Macaca mulatta: one gene and its partners. The protein of the gene in region 3 interacts with the protein of the main gene of each other region in a pairwise test. Links are inferred from orthologs where the notes say so. Each region holds a gene or a part of one and is shown on either strand. Other genes may lie near its edges.

Region 1 (4,150 bases), on a different chromosome or scaffold from region 3:
CTAAAGGTGTCCAGAGTAGGAGGACGGTGCAACGCTTGATGTGGGTGTCTCAGGTGCAAGCATCTAGGCCCTAGGCCTTGGTTCTGTGAAGTCGCCTACTCCAGCCTGGGGAGAAGGGCTGCCTCAGTGGGGCCTGAGGGGGACCCTTGGCTTTCAGTCTTGAAGCCTTACTTCCCTCCTTTCCCTCCTCACCTTCAGACATGTTTGACAAGACCAAGTCAGGCCGCATCGATGTCTACGGCTTCTCAGCCCTGTGGAAATTCATCCAGCAGTGGAAGAACCTCTTCCAGCAGTATGACCGGGACCGCTCGGGCTCCATTAGCTACACAGAGCTGCAGCAAGGTGCGGGTCATGGCTGGGGCACGATGGGCAGGACAGAGCTAGACTCTTCTCTTTACACCCTAAGATACACAAAGGGATTTCCTCTTGCTACCGAATGTCCACCTGCACTACAGAATGCTGTTCTCAGTGCAGGCCTGCGTCCCTCACCCCTTCTGTGACCCAGTTGGGGCACTGAGCCAAGATCCAGGGCAAGGAAACACCTGGGTCCAGAATCAGGGCTGGACCCTGGAGTGCTGGGTGAGATGGGCCCAGCCACAGGGAGCCTTAAGGATGGAAAATTGGCACCTTAAGGGCTATGAGACCAGTGTGTGTGGCTGAGGTGACTCCTTCCTCTCCAGTTTCTAGCATGTAGAATGGTAAGAGCCCTGAACAGGGCTCAGAAAGATGGGCCTGTTGCCACCCCTGCTAGTGGGCAGTTTCTCTCCCAACTTTGGGACCCCGAGCACTCTAAAAGTTGCAGTTGGGGAAGATGACCTGAGGCCACAGCCCCAGGTCTGGTTCCAAACTGACTCTGTAAGGCAGGAGGCCACAGTTTGGGCTCAGGCAGGTTAGTAAGAGGTTGGGGGGGAGGACCCAAGAGGGAGCTTTGCCACCCAGGCGGGAGAAAGGGCTCCCCAGAGAGTCTAGTCCTTTGCCCAGGCTGTGGATTTCATTCAGACTAAGGAGGTCGGTGGACAGGAGTGAGTGCACCACATCTGCCCCCAGCAGAAGGGAGGGGAGATGGCCTATAGTAATGACCTACTCTTGCCAGCTTTTGCCATGGATATTAGTAAGGGTGATAGTAACCACAGCAAAACAGATATTTACTGAATGCTTGCTATTTTTAATAGGCTTATGTGATTCATTCTTCCCATGTGATGGTACTATTTATAATTCCACACCCTTCAATTAAGAATCCCTTATTATCTCCCTTTTACAGGTGAGAAAACTGAGGTTTAGTGTGGGTAACCTGCCTAAGGGCCTGCATAACAAATGGAGAGTTGAGGTTTTAGCCTGGCCTGGTAAGTTATGAACAGAGGAAGGAAGGAAGCAAGCATCCCAGTGAAGAGACAGGATGCTCCAAGAGACCTTGGAGTGGCGGTGACTTTATTAAAATAGCACTTACTGAGTGCTTTTTATGTGCCAGTCACTGTGCTAAGTAGCTTTACCCATTTTAATCCTTGCTAGAACCTACAAGTTAAGTATTATCCCCATTTTAGAGATGATAAGATAGGGATAGTGAGGCTAAGCAACTTGCCCAGGGGCTGACTCCAGAGCGGGTCCTCATACCTCTGCTGTGCTGCCTCTGATGTCTGCCCCAAGCAGGGTGGTCCTGGGAGCTCAGGCTTCCTTTTGGAATGCAAATGAGTCAGAGATGATTGTGGATAGTCCGTTGTCATCTCTGGAATCCCATGAGCCTCAGTTGAAGAGACAATAATGGAGACTGGGAGAAAGAGGGATGAGGGCCTTCCACCTAAGGGTAGCATCCAGACAGGGCCCCTGTTGTGTTCCTGATATCTTAGACCCTTGGGATTTCTCTGCCCTCTTTATGCTTCTGTGCCCGTCCTCTCGAAGTTCCTTGAACTGCTGTGATCCAGTATTGCTGATTGATGGAGGTGCTCATGGCAGGTTTTTGTGTGTCTGGTCTGTGTGCCCCTCTTCTCCAGCTCTGTCCCAAATGGGCTACAACCTGAGCCCCCAGTTCACCCAGCTTCTGGTCTCCCGCTACTGCCCACGCTCTGCCAATCCTGCCATGCAGCTGGACCGCTTCATCCAGGTGTGCACCCAGCTGCAGGTGCTGACAGAGGCCTTCCGGGAGAAGGACACAGCTGTACAAGGCAACATTCGGCTCAGCTTCGAGGACTTCGTCACCATGACAGCTTCTCGGATGCTATGACCCAACCCATCTGTGGAGAGTGGAGTGCACCAGGGACCTTTCCTGGCTTCTTAGAGTGAGAGAAGTACGTGGACATCTCTTCTTTTCCTGTCCCTTTAGAAGAACATTCTCCCTTGCTTGATGCAACACTGTTCCAAAAGAGGGTTGAGAGTCCTGCATCATAGCCACCAAATAGTGAGGACCGGGGCTAAGGCCACACAGATAGGGGCCTGATGGAGGAGAGGATGGAAGTTGAATGTCCTGATGGCCATGAGCAGTTGAGTGGCACAGCCTGGCACCAGGAGCAGGTTCTTGTAATGGAGTTAGTGTCCAGTCAGCTGAGCTCCACCCTGATGCCAGTGGTGAGTGTTAATTGGCCCATTATCGTTACTACCTGTGTTCCCTCACCAGGCCATCCTGTCACACGAGCCCATTTTCTCCAAGGTGGAATCTGACCAAGCATGAGAGAGATCTGCCCATGGGACCAGTGGCTTGGATTCCGCCACACCCATAAATCCTTGTGTGTTAACTTCTAACTGCCTGGGGCTGGCCCTGCTCAGACAAATCTGCTCCCTGGGCCCCTCTGGCCAGGCTCTGCCTCCGCGGCTGGGACCCCTCACTTGCCTGCCATGCCCTGCTCGGCTTCAGTCTCCAGGGGACAGTGGGCACCTCTCTCTGCCAATACTTTTTTTAATTTGCATTTTTTTTCATTTGGGGCCAAAAGTCCAGTGAAATTGTAAGCTTCAATAAAAGGATGAAACTCTGGGGTTCCATGTTTTCCACCGTGATTTCTCAGCTACAGGTCCATCCACTCCTCCTTTCACTGACTATTTAAGTACATCCTATACACCAGCCATGCGGAAAGCAGCAGCTTGTGGGGACATGGCCTATGTGGGGCTCCTATCCACTGCCAGAGGGAAGTGAATTGTAGGGTAGCCAGCTGGGGGCCCTGCCGGGTTCAGTTCAGTATGGCCTGAAGGTCTATTCAGGAAGCTATTTCATAGCAGTTTTAGGGCAGGCATTCTGGGTTGAAAGCAGCTACCTCAAACTTCATAGCCTGGCCTTTCTATTTTCTCAGGCCCTAGTTTTATCTTCCAGACAAACTCCATTTATTAAGTCATAACTTTCCCCCCATTTTTATTAAGCACAGACATCTGTACTTGCAAGTCAGATCTTTAGATCAGCATAATACCCAGTCTACACCGAGTGTCTGTAATGAGCTGACCACATTTCAATCAAAAGCCAAAGACACCAGACATTCTAGTTTGCCAGGGGGCTTTATTCTGGGTAATGGTGATTATCTTTTGGCTTTTTGAGATAAAGAGCTCTGAGGCCCTGTGCAGGGCTCTCCTCCCTGCAGTGGGTAGTTGGAAGTAACTATGACTGTTTTGCAGGTCAGTGAGGCCCAGCAGTGTGTCGGGCTTAGCCAGGTCAGCTGCATTCTCCTCTGGGCTGCTGTAGTGCTAGAATCCCAGCATTAGATGAAATCCGGTTCCCAGAGGCCAGCCCCTATCCAGAGCTATAATTCCCTTCATAGGCCCCATGTGAGTCTGGCCTCTGCTTCGCCAAAGGCAAAGAACCCAGTGCCTTTCCAGGCAGCCCATTTCCTCCATGACTGGCAGAACATCTTCCTGGTGTGGATTCTAAATCCTGCCATCTTGAAGACACCACCATTGGCTGTGGTTTTCTCTGTGGGCCACTCAGGACATACATCACCCTTTCTGCATGCCAACCCTCTACATAGTGGAGCCTGCCCTATATACCACATTTTCCCCAAGTCCTCCCTTCCCTAGGCCAGATAGCCCTGGGCTCTTGAGCAGTCCCTCGCTGAGCATCTCTCCCCTCGGCATCCTGTTCACCTCCCCTGAATTTTCTTCAGTTTATCTGAGTCCCCCAGAGTGGAGGGCTGAGGCCCCCCATGGTGCTGGGTTCAGCCAGCAGAGCGTGGAGTAG
Region 2 (5,447 bases), on a different chromosome or scaffold from region 3:
TTTAAGAGAATGCAATTCTTGAAAATAAGTGTTTTCAGTCAAAAAAGATTTGGGCAAGACAGGATAGTAACATCTACCCAAATCCATCAACAGTCCTAGGAAAAAAATAATGCCCAAAGAAGATTAGTTCTACTGGTATTGAACAGTAAAATTATTATGCTTTAGAATATGAGTTTTCATCTAAATAGGTTTGTATTCTCTATTTCCACAGAGACTTAAACCTGACAAAATGAGCTTAAATTGCGTGCAGAAATGTATAATGACTTTAGGGATTCTTCGGGTAAGATAAACAAAAATTGTTTCCCATTTTATTTTGGGTAAATAATATGAAGAGCTAATCTTTGAACAAATCAAAAATTAATATAGTTACTCTTTTTTTAATTCTATATCTTGAAGGCAAAGTAACCCAAAGTCAAACTTTTATAGTAGTGTGTACAGTAGTTATTACTGGTGTAACTTTTAATAGTTGTTACTGCTGATTCTTTAAAAATATATGGCAAAATGGTTAAGATCAAGAACTGTGGGTTGGGGGTAGACCCAGGGTTAAACCTCCTACAGCTTTAGATCTTGACCAAATTACTTATCCTCCAAATCTCTGCTTCATCACGTGCTATGACGATAATTGGAGCATCTATCTGAAAGGTTGCTGTGAAAAGGAAAAGATTAAATGATACTGATCATAAAGCATTGTGCCTGAAACAAAGTACTTGATAAATGGCAGCTATAATAATCATCATTACTATAAGTTTATCCAGTTGTAATCATTTTAGCTACCTACTAGAAATATGTATTCTTTCCAAAGCAGTCTTCTTTCAGCTAGGCATGGTGGCGTGGGCCTGCCTGTGGTCCCAGCTACTCAGAAGGCTGAGGTGGGAGGATCGCTTGAGCCCAGTAGGTCGAGAATGCAGTGAGCGTGAGATCGCGCCACTGCACTCCAGCCTGGGCGACAGAGTGAGCCTTCGTGTCTAAATAGTTAACTGGACGGGCAGGGTGGCTCACGCCTGTAATCCCAACACTTTGAGAGGCCAAGACAGGCAGATCACTTGAAGTCAGGATTTCAAGCCTGGTGAAACCCCTTCTCTACTAAAAATACAAAAATTAGCCGGGTGTGGTAGCAGGCACCTGTAATCCCAGCCACTCGGGAGGCTGAGACAAGGAGAACCGCTTCAATCTGGGAGGTGGAGGCTGCAGTGAGCCGAGATCGCGCCACTGCACTCCAGCCTGGGCGACAGTGCGAGACTCCGTCTCAAAAACAAAAATAAAAGTAATTAGTTAATTAATCATTAATTTTTTTTTAATGCAATCTTCTTCCAAAGGCGATCACAAGGCTGTTGGAGGCTGGAGCCGCTAAGTCGCCCCCTACCACGCGGGTGGCTTCGTCCGGGACCATTCCAGAGGCTGTGCCACTGCTGGAGGTGCTCAGCGGGGCCGGGACCCGCTTGGGGCACGGTCCGGGGCGGGCACCGGAGCCCGACTAGGCTGAGCGGCAGGTCCTGACGAAGCCACCCGCGCGGCCCCGCCCGCCTGGCGGGATGAGTGACGGCGGCAACAGGTGCAGAGAGGCGTCCGCGGCTTCTCAGGAGCCCCCGAGTTTGGCGCGTCAGGCCCCGAGAGTCAGAGTTTGACTCTAGAACCTTCTTCGCATTACACCAGTCTTCGGAAGTCGCCCGTCAATCGGCTTCTTCCAGCCCAGTAAAGGCTTAAGGTCACCTCAACCTCTCGAAACCCACCAGTCCCAGAGGCCGACTCTTCTCAAGTGGAGGAGACGGGAAGGCGTGCCGTGCATGGAGCTTTGCCCGACCGCTCGCTCTCTCCTCCCCAGCCGTCTGAGACCAGGCGAGAGGGGTCCCAGAACAGAGCTCTCGCTCCGCACGCCCCACGCCTGCCCCGCTGTGCCGTGCGCTCTGCCCCTGAGACGCCCCGGCTCGGAGTCCCAGAGCCGCAGCCGAAACTCGCCCGCCCGCGCCCCTCTCCGGCTTGCGGCGCCCGCCCGCACCGCCGCCTGCCACCCGAGGCGACGCCGTCTGCTTCTCCCCACCCGCCAGGTGGCAGGTTCAGGGCCCGGGTCTGAGCCTGCTCCCCTGCAGCTGCCACCGCCGCCCTCGCCGCCAGGGGGCGAGAGTCCCAGGCAGGACAAGCAGCGCTGCTGCCTTGGCGTGAAGGTGGTTTCAAACTTTAGGCTTCTCTTCCCTACCCGCGTCTCTGAAGAGCAGAGAGGAAGATGGAAACCGAGTCCGGGCAGGTGAGTACGGCGATCAGGGCCCCAGGGCGCGGGGTAGCGGGGAGAAGGAGCAGCGTGGAGCCGGTCCCTGAGCGCCTGGAGGGGCAAGGTGAAGACCCCAAACGCTCGCTATCTGGTTAGGAAGAAACGTGGCCAGGTGCCCCATCGACCGCTGCCAGGAGCCGCCCGCCCGCAGACCTCGTCTGGCTGTGTCATGGGGGTCAGGAAGGCGCCGCCACGGGGCCTGGACTGGGTGTAGACGGGCCAGGGGACCTCAGGCGCAGATGTTTCGGGAGGCGGCGGGCTGCCGGGCACCCAGCGGAGTCCGAGCAGATAAACTGCTTTCCCGCCGAAATTGGGCTAGGCAGCGTCTTTGACGCTCCCTCCGGCCGAACTTCGACCCATCGGCCCAGAGCGAGGAGTTGTCAGGGCGGTCGACGCCTCCACTCCCCGACTGGTCAGCGAGGACCGGAAGGTCTGAGAGACCTCGCGGGGGCCCGCCTGTGGCCCAGGTGGGATCCGGACACTGTAGCACTGGCTGTGCACCCGAGCCAGTCAGGGCGGACTTGGGGAAGTGAAGGAAGACGGCCCACACAGGCCCGAGCCGCAGCGGCAACGTGCCGTCCCGCCCCGCCCCGTCCCGCCGCCAGCAGCCAATCAGGGAGCGCCGCGCGAGGGTGGGGACCAGCTGCGCACGAGGCCAGCGGCGGGGTCTGTGCCGTTGAGGGTTCCCGCCACTGCTGCTGGCGGATTTGCGGGGCAAAATTTCTCGCTGGCTAGCCTTCTTTTCCCTCCCGCACTTTGGTGGGGAGGGGGTGGATCCTCGTTTTGGTGCCCAAGTTCACGATGACCCGAGAGAACTCGAGGAAGTTGTCGCCGCGGCCATTTCCCCCAGTGCCGCAACTTGCTGGCCTTGGAGGGGGAGGAGCGCCGAGGCAGTGACTGCGACGGTTAGCCCGCCCGTTCCTGCTGTCTTCCTTTGCAAAATAGATGCTAGATCTCGAGGTTGACTTAAGGGGAGGAGCCAGTGAGGGCACATTGCTTTGGAGGAGAAGTTTAATAAACTCTCTAGTGCTGGAAGTTTTAGCAAGCGGAGGAGACTTCAGACCCGACAACAGTCCCCTTCTAGATGCTTCCGTAACACGTGCGGAATTTATTGCTAGTTAGAATTTGAGGCTTTCTTTGTTGTTTAACTCAATGCATCACTAATTGTTAATAATGAACTTAGATGTTGCCTCTACCTAAGCCTTGCTATTGCTAACATTAAAATATTTCGTAGGCCTGGTGCGGTGGCTCACGCCTGTAATCCCAACACGTTGGGAGGCTGAGGTGAGCGGATCACGAGGTCAGGAGATCGAGACCATCCTGTCCAACATGGTGAAACCCTGTGTCTACTAAAAATACAAAAAAATTAGTGCACGCCTGTAGTCTCAGCTACTCGGGAGGCTGACGCAGGAGAATCTCTTGAACCGGGGAGGCAGAGGTTGCAGTAAGCTGAAATCACGCCACTGCACTCCAGCCTGGTGACGAGCGAGACTCCGTCTCAAATATATATATATATATATACACATACACACATGTGTATATATATATAGTAGACTGCTGTTATACTGTATTCTTTTGCCTTCAGCCTATTTGGCATATCGTGAGCAGGTCTCTCCTGAAGAAATGATTCACTTTTAGTCGTTCAACAGATACTCATTGAGCACCTGCTGTGTACTGTCAGTACTTTAGATGCTGCCGTGAAAAAAGCAAAACTCCTGCCCTAGTGCATTACATAATAGTGGAGACGGATAATGGACATAATAAGTAAATTATATCGTATGTTAGAAAATGATGAGGGAGAAAAATTAAGCAAAGCGAGCCCACATTAGAGCAGGAGCCTTAGGGACTGGAGGAGAGTGAAGTGAATTGAGTGTGAAAGGTTTTTCTTTTCTCAGGGAGTATCCTTTAGTTTCTCGAGATTGGAAATAAAGCACTGTTTACTTCCGTTCATTTCATCCTTCCCTCGATGAAATATAATGGGGTTTGTCTTTTACTTAAACTTGCAAACAAATTAGTACATCTTATTTTCAATAAGAGAATTTCATGAAGAATGATTTTTTTAATTTAGCAAATAGGTAACTTTGACACTGTAAAAAAATGGGCAGAAAGACAAGATTACATCTAGTAGTGCTGTTATATTATTTCTAGCAATACAAAATCCACAGTTGAAAAATACTAAGCATTCCAGAATTACCCATTCTGAGCATTATATCCTACTGAGCAAAGTGACTGATGTCACAAATAACCTCCAAGTGCCCAGAGAGAAAGTTGTTAAGATTAGATTCCCAGTTTCTTTCATTGGAAACTACAACATAGTAATTATTAAATGTGGTGGCTTTTCCGTGTTTTAAAAGAAGTATTTACGTATTCCCTTATTAGGAGTATGTACTTCCTTAAGGCTGGATGGAGAAGAGAGCCCATAAGGTCCAGCCTATAGCCCAATTGCCACTCCTGCCCTAGTCATTTCTCTGTACATCTTGCAAAGATTAATTGAGGGATTGTGATTGTATTGACCAGAGAAGAAAGAACACAAATTTGAAAAAGAACAACTCTATTACCTGAACTGGAAATTCATTTTCATGTGTTTGTTTCTCAGAGAATTTGAATTATGAACTTCAAGATTTGTTATTTTCTTTTTCTTTCTTTTTGAGACGGGGTCTCGCTTTGTTGCCCAGGCTGGGGTTGAACTCCTGACCTCAAGCAATCCTCCTGCCTCAGCCTCCCAAGCAACTGGGATTACAGGCACAAGCCACAACACCCAGTTTACTTCAAGTTTTTTGAAGCACACATTTAGGATATTAGACTGTCTCAGAAGTGTGTTTAGTGTTTCCAGATGGAAAATAATTCACCAGTTCTTGAATTGGTTTCTCTTCTACATGATTCTCAAGTCCTGGTTTTCTTTCAGTTATACCTTAAAAGTCTATTATTTTACCATTCTGCAAAGGCTTATACATTTATATATGTTTATTAAAATTTAAATTAGATCCTCTAACTTATCGTTGTGAACATATGGCTATGTACTGAGCTAATTCTTTGGAATAAACATTTATGAGCTATAAGTATATAATTTTTAACAAAATCAGTCCAATCTTCAAAATGACAAGTGCATTTAAAATTTTGACCTTCAGGCTGAAAATGGTGAATGTGAATGTTACAGTTTATTAACTTATCAATGACCATT
Region 3 (4,918 bases):
TATTAATAAAATATCTGTTCAGAGCATGGTGAGGGGTCTAGAGATACTAATTTAAGGACTAGTTAGGTGAAAGGACGAAGGGTATTTATATGAAGAATAGTAGGGCATTAATATATAATATTCATATAATAGGATTCATGGAAACTTTTTTCAAGTACTTGAAGGGTTGATCTGCTGGGGGAGTAGGTGAGTGCTTTCACACACCCCGAAAGAATAAACAATAATTGCAGAGAAGTGTGGTGTTAATGAAATAACAGATTTAAGAAGAGGAAGCAGAAAGCTGCTAGTAGTAAGACGGGAAGTTGAAACTAGAATGTGGCCAGTAGGTGTTTTTGGACACCTTTAAATGTCTCAGATCATTTTCTTGGGGCAGGAGGAGGAAGGAGTTGATGCTTAGGAAATGTTCAGCGTTTATAGATAACATTCAGGAACATCTTGGCCTTGAGAAGAAGAGATATTAACCCATTATTTGATAAGTATATCCTCCCTTATTATCTAGCAACTATTTAACTTGCTAGAGACCTTCAACATTATTTTGAATTTAAAATTACACAGTCATGGCTGGACTTGGTGGCTAACGCCTGTAATCCCAGCACTTTGGGAGGCCAAGGTGTGTGGATCTCTTGAGGTCAAGAGTTCGAGAGCAGCCTGACCAACATGGTGCAACCCCATCTCTACTGAAAAAAACAAAAATTAGCTGGGCGTGGTGGCACATGCCTGTAGTCCCAGCCACTCAGGAGGCTGAGACACGAGAATCCCTTCAGCCCAGGAGGCGGAAGCTGCAGTGAGCTAATAGTGTGCCACTGCACTCCAATCTGGTGACAGAGTGAGACTCCATCTCAAAAAAAAGAAATAAATAAACAAAAATACAGTCATTACAGGATAGTCATACTGAATAAAATCAAAGATTAAAATAAAACCTAAGGGAAAATTCTGTAACGAATTAGTGTTTAGTGGCTAGTTGTTTGACACTGTCTTATTTAATAAAGTATACAGTCCATTCATACACACCCACCCAGGTGGGAGAGTTAGGGAGTATGCAGCACAGTAGTGGACAGTCTTTAAACAGTTCAGATGGGTGTTACTAATTTGTCCTTTCTCCTTCAGTTCCCCCACGTAGAGAGGAAATTAAAGACATACTCATGAGATCTTTCTTAGAAAAACTTGAGGCTCTATTTGAGTATTCACACATAACTCTGTCTTCAGAGTTAGCATTTACAGTTTATAGGATAATAGAGTTTTAAAGCCAGTAGTTATTTTTCCCTTTATTTAACAGCTATAGGATGACTATTGTCTGCCAGGCACTGTTGTAGGCTCTGGGAATACAGAAAACATAATAGTTTACTTCCTGCCATCAAGTGGAAAAGACAATAAAAAGTTACAAATTTTTGATGTCTGGTAGTGTTAAGTGCTTTGAAGAAAAATAAAGCAGGATAAGAAGATAATGACAGGGGAGCCATTTTAAATTAGATGGTTAGCAAAGACCTCTCTCAGTTCACAATTGATAAGGAATCTGAATCATATGAGGGGTATCAGAAAGTTTTAAGACAAAGGGAAAACGTGAAGTATGGGTATAGCAGGGGTGAGTGAAGAACAGAGGTAGGAAATGAAGTTAAATACTTGGCCAGGGACCAGAGGCCAGATGATTTTATAGGTCTTGCTTTTTGAGATGAGAATGCATTGGAAGGTTTTGAACAGAATGATGCTAGGTTTTACCTAACAGCGTTAACTGTGATGGTGAGACTAGATTAAAAGTGGGCAAAGGTAAAAAGCAGGCAGACTGGTTAGGAGTCTTTTCTAGTCGTTTAGGCAAGTGATGATGGTGGCTTGAGTCAAGTTGATAGCAGTGAAGGTGCTGAAGTGGTTGGACCCCAAAGTTATTTTAAAGGTAGTGGCAACCATATTTTGTTGGCAGTTTGGATATAAGGTTTGAGTGAAAGAGATCAGCCAAGGTTTTTTTGTCTTATACAACTCAAAGAAGTAGGATAAAGAGGCCTATAGGAGAGGCAGTTTTAGATGAGAGATCAGGAATTTATTTTTAGATATAGTAAGAAAAATCTAAATGGTAATGTCAGATGAACAGTTAAATATGAGAAAAAATTATAGTAGACATAAAAGCTTATTTTATTATCCCTAAAGTAAAATAATGTTGCCTCCAGACCATTTTAACATAAATATTGTAACATGGGGATAATGAATCTTTTGGAGGCCGGAGTTTCTTAGCATCTAATAGTAGCATTGCTCTCAACTTTTAAGATATGTTTTGTTGTTTAGTTATCAAAACCATTTTTATCAGTCTTTCTCTAGAGTTGTATATATAGAACATCCTGGAGTCCACCATGAACGGACAGTTGGATCTGAGCGGGAAGCTAATCATCAAAGCTCAACTTGGGGAGGATATTCGGCGAATTCCTATTCATAATGAAGATATTACTTATGATGAATTAGTGCTAATGATGCAACGAGTTTTCAGAGGAAAACTTCTGAGTAATGATGAAGTAACAATAAAGTATAAAGATGAAGGTAAGAGTGTTTTTAAAGCTATTTTTTAAAGTCCTTTTTTTTTTTTTTTTTTTTTTTTTTAAAGAGACAGAGCCTCTGTTGCCCAGGCTGGAGTGTCACCTCAAACTCCTGGGCTCAAGCAATCCTGCCTCGGCCTCCCCAAAGTGCTGAGATTATAGGCATGAACTGCCATGCCTGACCTTAAAGTCTTAAGTATTGTATATGTTATTTTGCCCATTTTTATTGGACTCTTTCCCGTCCTCTCCTTCATGGTGGTTGGGCCCTTTCTTGTATTGAATGCGATGTTCATATAGTTACTATAATTCTCTTATCAGTTAAAAATAGCTAAGTGGGGCCGAGCACAGTGGCTCATGCTGTAATCCCAGCACTTTGGGAAACTGAGGTAGGTGGATCATTTGAGGTCAGGAGTTCGAGATCAGCATGGCCAACATGGTGAAACCCTGTCTCTACTAAAAATGCCAAAAATTAGCCGGGCGTGGTGGCATGCACCTGTAATCCCAACTACTTGGGTGGCTGAGGCAGAGAATTACTTGAACCCGGGAGGCGGAGCTTGCATTGAGCTGAGATCGCTCAACTGCACTCCAGCCTGGGTGATGGAGCAAGACTCTGTCTCAAAAAAAAAAAAAATTGCTAAGTGGTTTATTAGAAGGGAATTTTAAGTGTTAGAACATTTTCACATACATTTTTACAAGCATTGTTTTCTCCTTTTGTCCATATAATTCTGGTTTCTTTTAGCCTGAAAAAAATTTTTTTTTCTATTCTTATTTCCCAAAATGAAAGGTTTTAGTATGCATGGAATGAAAAAGGCTTTCATGGTCAACTAAGTATGGGAAAGCTGGTTTAAGCAAAGACAAAAGTGTTTCTTTAGAAGTTTTCAGATTATAATACGTTTATATACGTTTTCAGAAGTTTGTAGTATGCAGTGTTCCCAGACACATTTGTTGACAAAATTCTCTTTATGGAAATAGGTTTTTCCATAAAACTATAAAAAACTATAAATACATCTATAAATAGTTGTATTTATAGTTTTTTGAGGAACCTTCATACTGTTCTCCATAGTGGCTGTACTGTTTACATTCCTACCAATAATATATGAGTTCCCTTTTCTCTTCGTTCTTGCCAGCATTTGTTATTTGTCTTTTTGATAATAACCATCCTAACTGGGGTGAACCTCATTGTGGTCTTCATTTTCCTGATATGTGTGCATTTCCCTAATGATTTGTGATGTTGAGCATTTTTTCATATATTTATTGACCATTTCTATGTCTTTTTTTGAGAAATACCTGTTCAGATCATTTGCCAATTTTAAAATTGGATTGTTTGTTTTTTAGCTGTTGAGATGTTTGAGTTCCTTGTATATTCTGAATATTCATCCTCTGTCAGATGTGTAGTTGTATTTCCTCCTATTCTGTCAGTTCTCTTTTCACTCTCTTGTTTCCTTTGCTGTGCAGAAAAGCTTTCCAGTTTGAGATAATCGTATTTATTTTTGCTTTTATTGACTGCACTTTTGAGGTCTTATTCTTGAAATCTTTTCCCGACCTATTAAAGAGGTTATCCTTTTCCTAATGAGCGGTCTTGGTGGTTTTGTCGGAAGTCAGTTGACCATAGATAACATGGATTAATTTCCAGGTTCTCTATTCTGTTTCGTTGTTCTATGTGTTCCGTTGATCTATGTGTTCTCTTGGTCAATGGGTCTGTTTTTATGTCAGTTCTGTTGTTCTGTGGGTCCATTTTTATGCCAGTCCGTGCTTACTACAGCTTTGTAGTGTATTTTGAGGTCAGTAAGTGTGACACCTTCAGCTTTGTTCTTTGCTTAGTATTGCTTTGATTGTCTGGGGTTTTATGTAGTTCTGTACAAGTTTTATGATTTGTTTTTAAATTTTTGTGAATAATTTTATTGGTGGTTTGATAGGGATTGAATTGAATCTGTAAATTGCTTTGAGTAGTTTTGTCATTTTAATGATATTCTTCTAATCTATAAGCATGGGATGTCATTACATATGTCAGCTCTTCAGTTTCTTTCATCAGTGTTTTTTTTTTGTAGAGGTTTTTCATCTTCGTTAAACTTCTTCCTCGATATTTAAAAATTTTTGTAGCTATGGTTAATGGGATTGCATTTTTTATTTTTATTTTTTGTATTTGTATAGAAACACTACTTATTTTTGTGTATTTATTTTGTTTCCGACAACTTTATTGAATTCATTTGTTGGTTCTAAGGGTTTTGGTAGAGTTTTTAGGTTTTTGTGTATATAAGATTATGTCATCTACAAACAGGGAAAGTTTGACTTCTTCCTTTCCAATTTGGATACCCTTTATTTTTTTCTCTTGCATAATTGCTCTGGCTAGTACTTCCTTAACTCTTTTTAAAATTTTTTATTTTTATTTATTTTTTATT
Region 4 (5,599 bases), on a different chromosome or scaffold from region 3:
AACTGTATTTTTGTACCCATTAACCACTCCCATTTTATCTCTCCCTCTCTGCTACTCTTAGCCTCTGGTAACCATCATTCTACTCTCTCCGTGAGTTCAGTTTTTTTTTTTTTTTTTTTTTAGCTTCCACATATGAGTGGGAGCATGTGATATTTGTCTTTTTGACTCTACTTCTCTTTTCTCATCCAGGCTCCATGGAGGGGAAAGAAAAGGGAAAAGGTAGACAAGAAAGATTGGTAACTTGGTCTTGACCCTGCTACTCACGAGCCTTAACGTGTCTTCTTATCTTTTCTTTTCCTCACCTGCTAAAACCTCTGCAGCCCTACTTCTGCAAGCCTTCACTCTTCAGGAATTACTAGGAAGTTCTACTCATACTGGGAGCCAAATGGGATATCAGGGAGATGGGTAGGAGAATCAGCAGTACTACTAGGGATATAGCACTGGAAGATAGGTTCTTAGCGTCTCAGTGTTAGCCCTCTTTTGTTAATTTCTCATAAAAGCACATTGTTTTATTAGTGGTCTTTATAACAGTATTGGAAAATTTCAGCACCAACATAGGTCAAACAATCTTATGTAGTCCAACGTAAGTACCTAATTACCATTTACGACATTTTCTTTTTTTAAATGGAAAACTGTTTTGGAATGTAATTTTCTTATAAATGGTAGTTTGGGGCTACATTTAATTCGTGAAAGTTAGTAAGAAAGTAGAAGAAGAATAAAAGTTTGAGTTGACAAATCCCATATGTGAATCCTTTGAGATGTTTATTAAACTAAGGTGTTATATTGTGGTTAGATTTCAGGAGGTAAAAAGTGGTAGAAATTACTTTATTTCGTTTTTCTTTTTTTCTTTTTTTCTTTTTGAAACGGAGTCTCACTCTGTCGCCCAGGCTGGAGTGCAGTGGCCGGATCTCAGCTCACTGCAAGCTCCGCCTCCCGGGTTCACACCATTCTCCTGCCTCAGCCTCCCGAGTAGCTGGGACTACAGGCGCCCGCCGCATCGCCCGGCTAGTTTTTTGTCGTTTTTTTTTTTTTTTTTTTCTACAGGAATAAAATAGTGGAATTGTTCTCTGATACCATAAGTCAGTCAACCAATCTCTCCCACCCCACACACATACATTTAATTTTTTTCTATATTCCTCGAATGTGAGGTACCTTTAATTTCTTAAAAAATCTCAGTAAGTGTGCTGTTGCTGAATCAGTTTTTTTACATTAAGTACTACAGGGTTTCATCTGTCATTACTTTTTATGCTAACCATTTTGTAACTTTTATCTGAATAATTAAATACTTGTAACTAAATTATGTTTGAAGATTCTTAATCTATATAGGAGAAAACTTGTTTTATTAAATTTCATTTATTAGTGTTATTCATATTAGTAAAGTGTCTACTTTTTCTCTGTGGTTGTCAGAAGCTGGAGAACACCAAGTAATTTAAGATTTATTTGATTTGAGACTTTACCATAGTCAGGATATTTAAAGATATTTAACTAGGGGCACTATATGTATTAAAAGCTGACTTCCACTTTATAAAATTACAAAATATTAAAACATGCAGAAAAGTGTAAATAATAATAAAACAATGAACACTTTTGCATTTATTGCCTAACTCAATACATTTAGAAAATCGCAATGCAATTGAAGTCCCCTCTATGAACCCCCAATCACATCCTACTCCTTTTTCTCTACATGTTGCCATTATCTTCAATTCAGTATTTATCATTCCTTTGCATTTCTTTTGATTTTCCTACTTATATAAATATCACTTGAAATATATGAAATTATTTTGCTTTTTTGAACATTATTTATATGGCAGAAATGTATGCATTCTTCTACAAACCTGCTTTTTTATTGTTCATCATGGTATTTGTCAGGCTCATTAATGAATATAAAACTCATGCATCTATTTATAATCTCGTATAAAATCATAATTAAAAGTCTCACTCCATTTTTAATGTTTGACTGCTGACAGCTTTGAAGTCTTATCTCTCCCTGTTCTCCCTCTGTCCCACATCTGAGCAAGATAAGAAAGCCATGATGCAGTGTTCTTTACCACCAGTGTAAAGTTCAAACCACAGGTGAGAATCCTCACCCCAGCCCCACCCCCAACCACCATAAAAACCCAAGCCAGTGTTCTCTCCTTGCTTTATAAAGCCATGTTTGGATGTGTCTGAGAGCCACCCCTGCTCTCTGCAGAAAACCTCATTATGTGAGTAATCAGCTTTTTTATGAATGTTGGTGTGTGTTTGTTTGGTATCATTGGTGTTGACATTCAAACCAAATTTTGAACTGGTGTCCATCCCGTCTTTGTGGAGTATTCAAAAAATTATTTCAGTGTTCTTTTGTTAATGGATATTAGGTTGTTTCCTTTTTTTTTATAGTTGAAAACAATGGTTCTATGGATACTTTTTGTTTTTTCTTATTGATTTGTAGAAGTTACATTTATATTCTGGATATGGATTCCTTGTTAGTGTTGCAAATATCTGCTCTCAGTCCGTAGTTAGTCTTTTTACCTTAACGGTTTCTTTTGTAGTACAGAGGTGATGAATTTTGATATAAATTTTGATCAAATCTACCAGTCTTTTTATTTATGATTGATCTTTGTATCTTTAAGAAATATTTCTCTGATTTGGAGGTTATAAAAATGCTCTTCTAAATGTTCTAAAACCTTTAAAGTTGATTTTTCCCATTTAGGACTTTGATCTATTTATTTTTTGTTGTATAAGTTACTTCTTTTCTTGTAATGTCTTTGTCTGGTTTTTGTATCAGGACCATACTGGCCTCATAGAATGAGTTAGGAAGTATTTGCTATTCTTTAATTTTCTGGAAAAGTTTGTGTAGTACTGGTATTATTTCTTTTTAAAATGTTGGTAGAATTTGCTAGCGAAGTCATCTGACTCTTTAAAATTTCCTTGTGGGAAGGTTATACAGATGCTCCTTGATTTACAATGGGATTAAATCCCGATAAACCTGTTTAAGTTGAAAATACTGTAAGTTGAAAATGCATTTAATACACTTATCCTAGCAAACATTGTAGCTTAGCTTAGCCTACCTTAAACATGCTCAGAACACTTAATATCAGCCTACAGTTGGGCAAAATCATCTAACACGGAGCTTCTTTTATAATAAAATGTTGAATAGCTCATATAACTTATTGAATACTGTGCTGAAAGTGAAAAGCAGAATGGCTGTATTGGTGCTCAAAGTTTATTTTTTATGGAATGTATATCGCTTTTGCGCCATTGTAAAGTTGAAAGAGCATAAGTTGAACCATCATAAGTTGGGGATTGTACTAATTTAGTTTATTTGTTTCTTTGTTATTAATGTGTCTTTTTGTTTTTCCTGCATTGTTTCCAGAGTTTTTAAAAAAATCTCTTAATCAGATTGATTGTGATGAGCCTTGTAGTTTCCTTCATGTTTCTTTTGCACCAAATATGTTGATATTTTTTGATTTGGGGGTTAAAATTATCACTAAAATAATGGCAAAACCCACAATTAATAGTAACATATGAAGAAACAGTGGCTAAGAATTTTAGCTGCCTTCCTCTCCCGAGAATCATCTCCTTACCTCAGGGGATCTGCCGGGTGAAAAGTATTAATACTCCTCTCATCTTCTTTGGGGACTTTAATTACCTGTGTATTAAGTTGCTTGCCATTGTTCAACAGTCCACTGATATTCTTCATACTTCAAAAAAATTCTTTTCTGTCGGTTTCATTTTGGATGATTCTTATTTCCATTGTTTTCAAATTCTTTAATCTTTCCTTTTCCATAGTTTAATATGTCATTTATCCAATTTGGCGTATTTTTAAGCTCAGATATTATTATTTACATCTCTAAAATTTTAATTTGGGCGTCTTTGTTATAGTTTTCCATGCCTCTACTTAACTTTGTAAATGAATAGATTATGTCATAACTTTTTAAATGTCCGTGTCTGGTAACTCTAACATCTGCATCAATTGTTGGTTGGTTTCAATTTATTGATTTTTTTAAAAAAATAATTTCAAGCTTCTTTGCATTGCTGGTGATGTTTGTTTACATTCAAGCCTTGTGGATTTTACCTTGTTGGATGCTAGATATTTTTATATAACTAAAAATTTCTTGAGCTTTATTCTGGAATATGATGAAACTACATGGAAACAGTTTGATCCTTTTATGTCTTGCTTTTAAGATTGATTAGGTGGAACCAGGGTGGTGCTCAGTCTATGGAAAATTATTCCTTGCTGGCTGTTGGTAACAGGTGCTGTTCCTGTCCCAGTGTAAGTGATGAAAAGTGTTCTTTCTAGTGATTTCAAATGGTTCTCTCCCCTGCCTTGGGTAGTTTCCTCTATATACACTAATGTATACTCTGTTGAATACTCAATGGACCCTTTACAAATCTCAGGAGTTCTTTTTCTGCACTGTTTCCCCATTCTGCTAACTATTACCTGCAGATTTTAGCTGCCTTCTCACTGGACTCTGAGTGTTGTCTTCTTACCTCAGGGGATCTGCCAGGTTCTGTCTCAGTTATTACCCTTGCCTGTGGCATAATCTGAAAATTCTCTCAGGGAAGTATGCTGGGGCATTTATAGGGTCACCTTGTTTCTTTACCATTTCTCAAGGATTATTGGCCCTCACTACCTGATATCTATTGTTCTGAAAACAATTTACTTTTTAATTTTTCAACTAGTTGGGTAAATGGTCTCTGTCATTCCATCTTGCCCAGAAGTACAAGTTCAGCTGAGAGTTTAGAAAGGGTTAAGATTCTCATAAGTTTTTTATGTAGGGAATCTTATCAACTCTAAATATTAATAGTTTCCTTTATTCATTTCTAATCCTTACTCTCTTCTGCCTTCTCCTTTTCCTCCTTCCTCCTACTTCCTCCCGCACCTCTGGATAGGGTCTTCAGTATAATGAATGAAAGGGATGATAGCAGTGATTCCTGACTCCCATTATTAAAGGGGGAACACATTTCTAATGTCATTATTTGTTTTTTACAATGAAGACTTTGTGCTCTTCTTTCACATCAGTTTACAAGTGCTGTTTGACAAGAATTTCCTGTAAGCCCTTAAGATATTGAGTAACAGTTTAGTGCTTAAAAACTGTCAAGCAACATTTATCGTATGCCATCTTTCAAAGTACTTACCTGTATTAATGCATGAGAGGCCCAAAACAAACATAAGAGGTAGGTACTGTTATTATCCCCACTTTACATATGAGAGACAATGAGGTTAAATACATTTCCTAAGGTTGCACATAATATATGGTGAGGCTGAGATTCGAGTCTAAGAAACCTGGCACTTAGAGCCCAGGCTTCTTCTGCACTGTACTTCTCTGCTCGTAACTAATATGAGAGTATTAAATGCAATTGTCAGTCGGTTCATTTAAATGACCACAAAGACATTTCTAGCACTTAGTGTTCACATTTCAATTATTTATGCTAGCTAAGTAACCATTATCAACAAAAGTTACAAACAGTAGATATTTCACTATAGGAAAAGATGGGATTAAAATTGTAGCCCTCTTAGCAGGTTGGTTTTGAGGAATTTAATTTACTAGATTAAAGTTACGTGATTCCTGCTATCCCGTGAGTTTTGTTGGCTGCAGGCCAGGGATTGGCTGTTTAC
Region 5 (3,931 bases), on a different chromosome or scaffold from region 3:
TTTCCAACTTTCCTTGAGTCTATGATTATTTAAAAATAAAAGGTAAAAAAAATAGACAAAAACTTTGCCCTGTGGTTAATATGCAAGGCCTTAAATTAAACATCTTATAAGCAAAAATATAATGAAAGAAATTTCAGAAACATTTCTACCTCTACTATCCAGAAACAGTAAGCAGTAATTTTCTCACATTGTAGGGAATGCCTTCTCTGGCATAAGTAAATTAGTAAAAGAGAAATAATTTGTATCTATTCCTCTGAATGTAATAGGTAGTCTATACTTTTACTTAAAAAAAAAGAATATGTGGGGTTTGTGGAATAAAACGTTAAGGTACCAAAAGTCTACAGAGCCCTCCATCTATGATAGCTTCTCATTAATTCATTTGAAGTCTAAATACATATATGATGCATAGTTGCAGTTTAAACGTTTAAAGACATCACAAATATGGATTAAAATGATATATTTTGTAAGAGTGATAATTACTAATAGTTAAATGAGTTCACTATTATATAACATAAGGATAGGAATTATAATATGGATGGGGTGAAAAGTAGAAATTTAAATTGTGCTGTCCTACCTGATAGTGGGGCAACGTGAATTTTAAACTGTTTTTAGAAAAAAGAATTGTTTATAAAATACAAAATGCTGGGGAAATTTTTTTTTTTAAAAGGAAACACTGATACATGTATGTGTAATCAAGTTGTCACATAATTATTTATGAAGCAGGTTACCTGGATCCTTTCTTTTTTTTTTTGAGGCAGGGTCTCACTCTGTGACCCAGGCTAGAGTGCAGTGGCATAATCATGGCTCACTGCAGCCTTAACCTCCTAGACTCAAGCGATTCTTCCACATCAGCCTCACAAGTAGCTGGAACTATAGGCGCATCTCACCATGCCTGGCTAATTTTTTAAAAAAGTGTTTGTAAAGATGGAGCCTCACTATGTTGCTTAAGCTAGTCTTGAACTCCTGGTCTCAAGTAATCCTTCCACCTCAGCCCGCCAAAGCTGAGATTACAGGGCTAAGCCACTGTGCTTGGCCCCTGGATTCTTTCTGCCTAAATGATGAGCAAGAAAAATAAAGGTAGCAGGGTACAGCGATCTCCAAAATATATAGAAACTGATGGTGATGATGGACATTTACTACCTTAAATTATGTGCTATAATAGTTCAACATCGAAATATTCACTGTAAAATAAATACAGGAAACAAAATATTTACACATTTTATTGAAATGCTCTGTATTTTTTCCATTTTGACAGGACAGTTTGGAATAAAATAATACAACTGATTGTAGAAGGATACACACCAAACTATATTTAGAGGTTTTGTCTGGGGAACAAGATAGAGGAAACAGGGCTTTTTACCTTTCACTTTCTACATTTCTATATACGATTACTTTTGTTTTTTTTTTTTTTTTTTTTTTTGAGACGGAGTCTCGCTGTGTCTCCCAGGCTGGAGTGCAGTGGCGTGATCTCGGCTCACTGCAAGCTCCGCCTCCCGGGTTCACGCCATTCTGCCGCCTCAGCCTCCCAAGTAGCTGAGACTACAGGCGCCCGCCACCACGCCCAGCTAGTTTTTTGTATTTTTAGTAGAGACGGGGTTTCACCATGTTAGCCAGGATAGTCTCGATCTCCTGACCTCGTGATCCACCCGCCTCGGCCTCCCAAAGTGCTGGGATTACAGGCTTGAGCCACCGCGCCCGGCCGATTACTTTTGTTAAACTGATCATACATTACCTTTGTCATTAGGAAAGATTATAAGCAATTCAACAACTGAACAAATATTGTATAGCCTTACTCTATCCCTACAGGAGCTAACCTACTGAAGGGTAAAGAAGAGTCTAGCTAAGTGGATTGAGGGCCGCTGAGAGAACAATCTTGTTGGTTAAGGTTAAAAGTATATACTGAGAATAGACAAGGAGCTAGTCCTACTCAGATGGGATTAAGTTTGCTCACCTATCAAGGTGCTCCAGTGGATTTCTGTATTTGTTCCTTTAAAATCAGGATACTCTGCCTTTGCTCAGGAGGCAACATGGCAATCTGGTCTGCAGTCAGTTGTAGAACCTGCATAATCAAAGCAGCCTGTGTAGAGGAAAAAAAAAGGTAGTCAGTTTTAATGATGGCAGCTAAAAAATACAAAACAAAACAAAAAACCCACCACCAGCTTCTATCCAAAAAGCTACTGTAGTGGGATATGAAGCAAAATGGAAAAAGGAAGAACATTTCACACAGCAAGAAACCAACAGCTCCCCTCCAAAACAAAGACAAAAACAAAAAACAAAAAAAAAAAACAAAACTGGTGAGAAAAGCTACAATGAAAAGAACAAGTATAAATTAAAATACCTAAGATTAGACGATTCAAAACAGACAACTTCATGAACTCAAAGTTCCTGGAGACTAAGATAATATCTGTGAGCCCTGGAAATCCTTCAGGTTTTAATCCTGTTTTGAAAGTCTCTCTTTTTCACAAATTTTAGCCTTTCCCTCAGACATAAGCTCCCCACAATGGTCAAATATAAAAACAGAAAGATATAATCATGGGGAATCTACTACTGTTTTTAGGGATAAAGTAGAAAGGGAAGGAAAAAGGGTGCGGATTTTCAGGTCACTCTGGCCTGAACAAGAAAAACCTGCTATTGGCAGATGAGTCTGAACTATAAAATAAGCTGCCATTTACATCCACTTAAGAACTTCACATCCATTAGCAACTTCAGGACCAGACTCACAAATTTTCAGGTAACAAGATCATAAAAGAGTTCTAAGTTAGAATAAACATCACCTCCAAAGGGACTTTGAAGACCCAGGATCGCCACATGGTAACTGTGAAAAGAGGAATCAAAAAGGCTAGAATTGTGCATAAGGAGGCAGTCAGACAGTGTTGCTTACCTTCTCATGATCCTGTGGAGTGACTTGGTTCTGTCCAGGACTAAAGCCGCCGGGCTGGCTTCCACCCTGTATACTCGCTCCTTGCATGCCTGTTCCCTGCATGACTGGGACCTATGTGCACAAAGAGAAAAAGAGATTTTTGGGATTTTTAATGTATAGCTAACCTGAATTCAGTAATAACGTGAAAAATTACGATCCCTACACAGATATGAGTAAAAACAGCAAACTAATGACTCTGAAGATCATTTTCTACTGTTAGCAATAGCAGAAGGCAGCGTTTAGCCAGAGATCAACTAGTAAGTTTGACATACTTGCTTACAACAGCTCCAGCACCATCAACAAATACCACACAGCACAACTGGATACCACTGAATTAATCAAAACTCAGCCAAATAAGCAAAGGGAGAACTGAGAGCACCCTGGAAACTAGCGCTCACTGGAAACACAAATGAAAGCCAACAGAGTCTAGAGAAAATGTATTCTGGTCCACTGGGGAAGTTAAATTCACAGGGCCACCCCCTACCCTAGTTCAATCAGACACAGGTAGTTTGTCCCAAAGGGCCCTATCCCACAAGTGAGGCAGAGATGTTCATAATGTCAGAGAGTTAGAAAGGCAATGGGAAGGCCTCCAGGCAAAAGACTGCTATTAGCCCAACATTTGCTGTTTATAGCTTTCCATAGAGAACATATGGCAGATGCTTTCTGCTAAATGTAGACCAAAAAATATGACTGACTTGAGTGAACGAACAAAGTACAGTGATATCATACTTACTGGTATTTAAGATCTTCAATAAGTTCAACCCTTTGCAAGACTAGCAGAACCCAAGGAAAAGACCTCTTGAGTACCAAATGTAACTATAAGAATGTCCCTATACAAGCATTATGTTCACACTCAGGCATTCACCCAGGGCTTAGGTACTCTCTTAATAAATACATTTTGTTAACAAACTTGTTACCTGCTTACCCAGCAGATTAGAAGCAGCAAAACATAAAAGAAATACAGATAAACAACTGTTAGGAGCAGATACCACTTCAGCAATATGAAGAGCC
Region 6 (5,353 bases), on a different chromosome or scaffold from region 3:
TTTTAAAACAGTACAAAATTTCTTTTGACATACACTAGAAAAGTAAAACATAACATTTTGGAAACTCTCATGGCTGTTAGGGTAAAAATGACAATTCAATCATGGGTCAGGGAGGAGGGTGGTTAAGAGAGTTGAACTCCATGAATTACTAGTGGAGTTCATGGATATTTCACAGAGCCTTCAAATTGTGACGGAGTAATAAACAGTATGGGACTACACAGTGATGAAACCCAGACATCAATCCTTTTTGACGGTATCTTTTGACAAAAATAAACTTCTCAATGAGACCATTTTCCATCTGTAGAAGTTATAGCTCCTGCCCACTGCACAGAAAATAGTAACACACTTAATCTATAAAGTGCTATATACATGTTAGATATTTATTAGGCGAAATTAAATAAAATCAAAATTTTGGGGTTGATTTGTTTAGTATGCATGGGATGATATGTATCATACTGAAAATATAAATTAATGGCTGGGCACAGTGTCTCAAGCCTGTAATCCCGGCACTTTGGGAGGCCCAGGGGGGTGGATCACGTGAGATCAGGAGTTCAAGACCAGCCTTGCCAACATGGTGAAACCCCATCTCAACCAAAAATACAAAAAATTAGCTGGGCACGGTGGCAGACACCTGTAATCCCAGCTACTTCGGTAGGCTGAGGCAGGAGAATCGCTTGAACCCAGGAGGCGGAACTTGCAGTGAGTGACTGTCTCCAAAAATAAAAAGTTATAAATTAGAATACATGCTAGTTTTCAGCATTGGCTCATTTATCTGATTATGTTCCATTTTTTACATTTGGGCAACTCAAAAACGGGGGTTTTGAAATGCTCAAAAATCTGAAACTTTTTGAGTGCCAACATGCCGCTCAAAGAAAATGCTCATTAGAGCATTCTGGATTTCGGATGCTCAACTGGTGTAATATAAAAAAAAAAATCCAAAATCTGAAACACTTCTGGTTCCAAGCATTTGGGATAAGGGATATGCAACCTGCAATATTTCTTGGCATTTAGTTATATATTTATTGGAACATATGTGCCAAACAATGTGTTGGGCTTTAGAGAAATTTTAGTATTACATGGAGATTCCTGAGATGTGCTGTCTTTTGCAGTCCATAAGGACCATAAGGAAAGAGCTGGGAGTAGAGGGCGGTGACATGGGTCCTAGGGAAAGAAGAGCAGTTGGTGTAAAAATTGGGAGAATCTGTGAGGAGGTATAAGCAGTTCAGATGGGTTAGAATATAGCAAGGGAAGGGGAAAGTCTTAGCAGAGAGACCTTAGACGAGGGTTTGAATTATTTCAGTAAGAGTCGGCTCATCTGAATGAACCTGAACTATAAAGAACAGGCCATACTGTTTGTAAAAAGCACGCAGTTAAAAACAAAAAACAAAAAACAACCAGACCAGTAATGCTGCGATGAACTAAATTGGACTCTGTCCAATCAAGTGCCTAAAATAATGCTTGGGTGGAAAACAGGTACCAAATTCTCTTTCCCTTGTATGTGGACATCTAGCTTATAGGTAAAAGAGTAAACGCTAAAGTATGACCATCCAGCTACAACTGCAGCTCTTCACTGGTTGGACTGGCCAGAGTTGACAAGTCCAACTCTCCAAACTCGAGGCAAAGGGAGATCAGAATCGTATCCACATCATAGATTTGCTCTAAGACTTATATAATAAACAAATCTCTTAGTCACTGCCTGGAATATAGCAAAACCTCAACAAATATTAGCTTTTACGATGCCTACTTTTAGGTCCATAAATCTTTATCTGCCCTTCTCAATCCAGAGACTTCCGAAAAAATAAACTTTCCCAAGTTTGGCACAAATCTTACATGGTGGCAAAATGTGACCTGAAGCTATTTATAGTTTCTATTCGCCCCCACTTAGAATGAATGCTCACATCTATTGCTGCAAATATTAATGTTGGATGATGCGGTGCCCCATTCTGCTGGGGGTGTTATCTCTCGTCTAACATGTCGTCTTTCTAAAAAGATGAAGATAAAATCCAAGTATTTTTGAATTCAAAACACACTAGCTTCAAAAGTTTCAGCTAAGAGACTGGGGATGGATATTACCCATTCCTCCTGGAGAGAGGAAAAGAACATTCCAATATTTGCAATTCACTCCAAGTTTCTGAAGCAAACTCGCTTTGCATTGTGGGCTCAGAGATGCCAGCATGAAAAATTTCTATTCTTCCCTCAAAGAACACCAGTGAACAAAGAACTTACAAAATGTTTCTGAAGGCTACCTTTGCCTGTCATGAGGGTTCCTTTTCAAAACAGACCTTTACAACCCCCAGGTGTGTATTTCTCTAGCAGTAAAACTAAAAAAAAATTTTTCGGTCGAGCGAGTCCGGCTTCATGCTTTAACACTGCAATCTTTACCTATTAAAAGCTGTACTCTTGCTTTTCAAGGTAAAGAGGAAAACGGTCCCCCTATATATAAGCTATCGTAGGTATGCGCTCTTCAGTCCTAAAAAGGAGATCCCTAAATTCTGCCCTTCTCGTGGTTTGCCCTGGGTATTCATCTAACGTATCCGTGGGCAATTCCTCTAGTGAGTCATAACCAGAGCGTTGTCACACTGCGGATTAACAAGCGCCCGAGATTCCTGTAATAATCTTTTCAGGCTTTTCCCTTTTTATTAGAAATTAATGAATGGGTGCAATGGGGTGGGGGTAGAGGGGAAATCGGGGCCAAAAGGCGCGAGGCCGGCAGCCTTTTAGGGACGCACGAACAAAGGGAGTCCGGGATCAACCGGAGCGAACCGGCCTCCGAGCGGGTCGCGCCCGCCGGGAAAGGGTGGGGGAGGGGCCGGCCCGCGCCCGCCCCGCCCCGCAGCCAGGCCTGACGTCAGGCGCCCAGAAACTCGTCGGGCGCGACGTCAGCGGCCTCCTACACCTTCTCCCTGGGGGGCGATCCCCAGGCAGCCCGCAGCGTGGAGGAAGGCGACCGAGAGAAACGCTTAGCCCCGGTCCCAGGCAGGCGACCACGGCCCGAGCACTGGACGTGACTCGATGCACCTCAGTTACCGCGCCCGCTTCCCGCTTGGCCGCGCCCGCGGGCTCCGCAACCCCAGCCCCCCGATTCCCCTTCACGACTCCCACTAGTACCGAAGCAGCCTCACCCGGCAATATCCGAGACCGCAGTAGGGTCTAGAAGCGGCGATGGGTCCGAGGGACTGGGCCCTGAAGAAGCGGGCGCAGCCTGACTGACGGCAGGGAAAGCAGCGGCGGCAACAGCACCAGCAGCGCGCGGCTCCTCCTGGCGCCGGAACAGGAAGCGCCGAGCGCACCGCCTCCGCCCGCTCTCCCCCTCCCCTCAGGCCGCGCCGCGTGCGCCTCCCGCAGGCCCCTGGCGGTACTGCGGCCCGCCAGACGCAGGGGGATGGGCTCCACCTGGCGCCGGCCCCGGGCCGCTTTCCCCTGATGGGCGGGCTGAAAGCTCCCAGAGTTTCCGGAGTTCCGAGGACTCAGAGGAAACGCCAGTGGTCGCCGGTGTTCACGGCATACCGGCGGAAATTGCTAACTTGTCTTGAGTTGCTTGAGGGCTGATTCTGGATTCCCTTTGCTCAGCGGTTTTTACAGCTAGGCCTCGAAGGAGGCTGGGTATGGACGCGGTCTGATTTCTGCCTGACCGAACGATTCAGATCCTCGGGCCAAAAGTGGGGAGAGGGAAAAGATTAATACAGGAAAGAGAAAACCTTTGCAAATAGCTTAACAAATTGATATTTGCTGTCTTTGCTGAGTTTTCCTCATCAATGCCTCTTCTCCTATGTTCTTTTTTGTGGTTTTTGAGACGAGGCATCTGTCACCCAGACTGGAATGCAGTGGCGCGATCTCGGCTCACTGCAACCTCTGCCTGGTGGTCTCAAGCTATCCTCCCATCTTAGCCTCCTAGTAGCTGGGACTACAGGCGTGTGTCACCACACCCGCTGATTTTTGTGTTTTTAGTAGAGATGGGGTCTCACCTTGCTAGTCTCAAGCGATCCGCCCTCTTCGGCCTCCCAAAGTGCTGGTATTACAGGCGTGAGCCACCGCGCCCAGCCACGATCTTCATTTCTGAATAAACATTACCTCCTGTGTCAGGCACAGATGACATGACCCCAGTCAAGGAACCTACTAACTAGCAATAAAGATGTCGTGACAATTATATGGTGTGCAAAATAGACACATATATGCAATATATGTATTTTTTTAGACGGAGTGTCGCTCTGTTGCCAGGCTGGAGTGCAGTGGCGCGGCGCTATCTCAGCTCACTGCAACCTCCGCTTCCCGGGTTCAAACGATTCTCCTGCCTCAGCCTCCCAAGTAGCTGGGACTACAGGCGCGCTCTACGTTGCCCAGCTAATTTAGAGACGAGGTTTCACCATGTTGGCCAGGATGGTCTCGATCTCTTGACCTTGTGATCCGCCTGCCTCGGCCTCCCAAAGTGCTGGGATTACAGACGTGAGCCACTGCGCCCGGCCAATATACATTTTTTTAACGTATAAAAATATCCTAAAAGCATGTGGTGCACTTGCATCTTGCTTTGTGTAAGGCATTAGTGAGTCAGGGGGTGGCCATTTAAAACTGTGAACTTATTTAAAGGAAGACATCCCTGGATGTATTCCACAGCAAACACAATTCTCACACTGAAAAAGGGGCAACAGAGGAACTTAAAATATCTAAGCCCAGAGTCTTATTTTTGGATAAGGGCACACAGGCCTATGGAAAATTACACGACTAGTGTGGACCTAGCCTGTCCTCACTGGAGACAGTGAATAAGCAGTGCTTTGTGGAGCCATGGTGAAGCCTGAAGCAACAAGAAATCAGCAATCCAGTCATGTTTGATTTGAAATTTGGTATCTTGCTCATCATAGGCTTTTTTTGGCATCAATTCTGATTTTACAATATTGCACCAAAACATTGTCTTCCTTAGTCTATTAGTCAAATATTTGTGCCCAAGTGCCTCACCATACCCTAGTCCTGGCACTGTACCAGTAATGGATAGCCTCCAACTTTTCCTTGCCTGCAATCAGCCAGTAGCTGAGCACATTGGAGGGGTCTAGATCTAGGCCATTCCTGTCCCTGTGGACTTGTCTACAGGGAACCTTTGCTTGGGAACTAAGTCCTCATCTAGCAGTTTGAAGGTGCACTGAAGTCCAAAGCTCCCCTACCCAATCCTTCCTTCCAGGTGTCAGACTTTCAGAGTGGTATGAAGAATTCCCCACCTTCTGCTCCCTTCTTTATCTTTCTAGGTATTTCACTCCAAATAAATCTCTTGCACCTCTTGGCACCTGCTTCTGGAAGATCCAAACACAAAAAACTAAAAGGAGTGTATTATAAATTAGAAAATGTGTAAGAATGTGGATTTCTC

Evidence for each region.
Region 1: the proteins of TFG (region 3) and PEF1 interact in binary tests that used the Homo sapiens proteins (3 or more experiments, as listed by UniProt). The two-hybrid records come from large-scale screens. The link is inferred for Macaca mulatta from reciprocal best matches to the Homo sapiens genes TFG and PEF1.
Region 2: the proteins of TFG (region 3) and BOLL interact in binary tests that used the Homo sapiens proteins (3 or more experiments, as listed by UniProt). The two-hybrid records come from large-scale screens. The link is inferred for Macaca mulatta from reciprocal best matches to the Homo sapiens genes TFG and BOLL.
Region 4: the proteins of TFG (region 3) and MAGED1 interact in binary tests that used the Homo sapiens proteins (3 or more experiments, as listed by UniProt). The two-hybrid records come from large-scale screens. The link is inferred for Macaca mulatta from reciprocal best matches to the Homo sapiens genes TFG and MAGED1.
Region 5: the proteins of TFG (region 3) and CSTF2 interact in binary tests that used the Homo sapiens proteins (3 or more experiments, as listed by UniProt). The two-hybrid records come from large-scale screens. The link is inferred for Macaca mulatta from reciprocal best matches to the Homo sapiens genes TFG and CSTF2.
Region 6: the proteins of TFG (region 3) and MAPK1IP1L interact in binary tests that used the Homo sapiens proteins (3 or more experiments, as listed by UniProt). The two-hybrid records come from large-scale screens. The link is inferred for Macaca mulatta from reciprocal best matches to the Homo sapiens genes TFG and MAPK1IP1L.

What each region holds. Positions count from the first base shown.
Region 1 is NC_133406.1:209,249,294-209,253,443, forward strand, and holds the end of PEF1 (peflin), read left to right. Parts: intron 1-198; coding exon 199-342; intron 343-1,988; coding exon 1,989-2,218; 3' UTR 2,219-2,964; downstream 2,965-4,150. UniProt on the Homo sapiens protein: Calcium-binding protein that acts as an adapter that bridges unrelated proteins or stabilizes weak protein-protein complexes in response to calcium.
Region 2 is NC_133417.1:102,701,571-102,707,017, reverse strand, and holds the start of BOLL (protein boule-like), read left to right. Parts: upstream 1-1,646; 5' UTR 1,647-2,221; coding exon 2,222-2,242; intron 2,243-5,447. UniProt on the Homo sapiens protein: Probable RNA-binding protein, which may be required during spermatogenesis. May act by binding to the 3'-UTR of mRNAs and regulating their translation.
Region 3 is NC_133407.1:182,890,723-182,895,640, reverse strand, and holds part of TFG (protein TFG), read left to right. Parts: intron 1-2,296; 5' UTR 2,297-2,339; coding exon 2,340-2,523; intron 2,524-4,918. UniProt on the Homo sapiens protein: Plays a role in the normal dynamic function of the endoplasmic reticulum (ER) and its associated microtubules. Required for secretory cargo traffic from the endoplasmic reticulum to the Golgi apparatus.
Region 4 is NC_133426.1:51,752,261-51,757,859, forward strand, and holds the start of MAGED1 (melanoma-associated antigen D1), read left to right. Parts: upstream 1-2,148; 5' UTR 2,149-2,159; coding exon 2,160-2,204; intron 2,205-5,599. UniProt on the Homo sapiens protein: Involved in the apoptotic response after nerve growth factor (NGF) binding in neuronal cells. Inhibits cell cycle progression, and facilitates NGFR-mediated apoptosis. May act as a regulator of the function of DLX family members.
Region 5 is NC_133426.1:107,719,977-107,723,907, reverse strand, and holds part of CSTF2 (cleavage stimulation factor subunit 2), read right to left. Parts: intron 2,993-3,931; coding exon 2,882-2,992; intron 2,078-2,881; coding exon 1,955-2,077; 3' UTR 1,952-1,954; intron 1-1,951. UniProt on the Homo sapiens protein: One of the multiple factors required for polyadenylation and 3'-end cleavage of mammalian pre-mRNAs. This subunit is directly involved in the binding to pre-mRNAs.
Region 6 is NC_133412.1:128,181,068-128,186,420, reverse strand, and holds the start of MAPK1IP1L (MAPK-interacting and spindle-stabilizing protein-like), read right to left. Parts: upstream 3,270-5,353; 5' UTR 3,123-3,269; intron 1-3,122.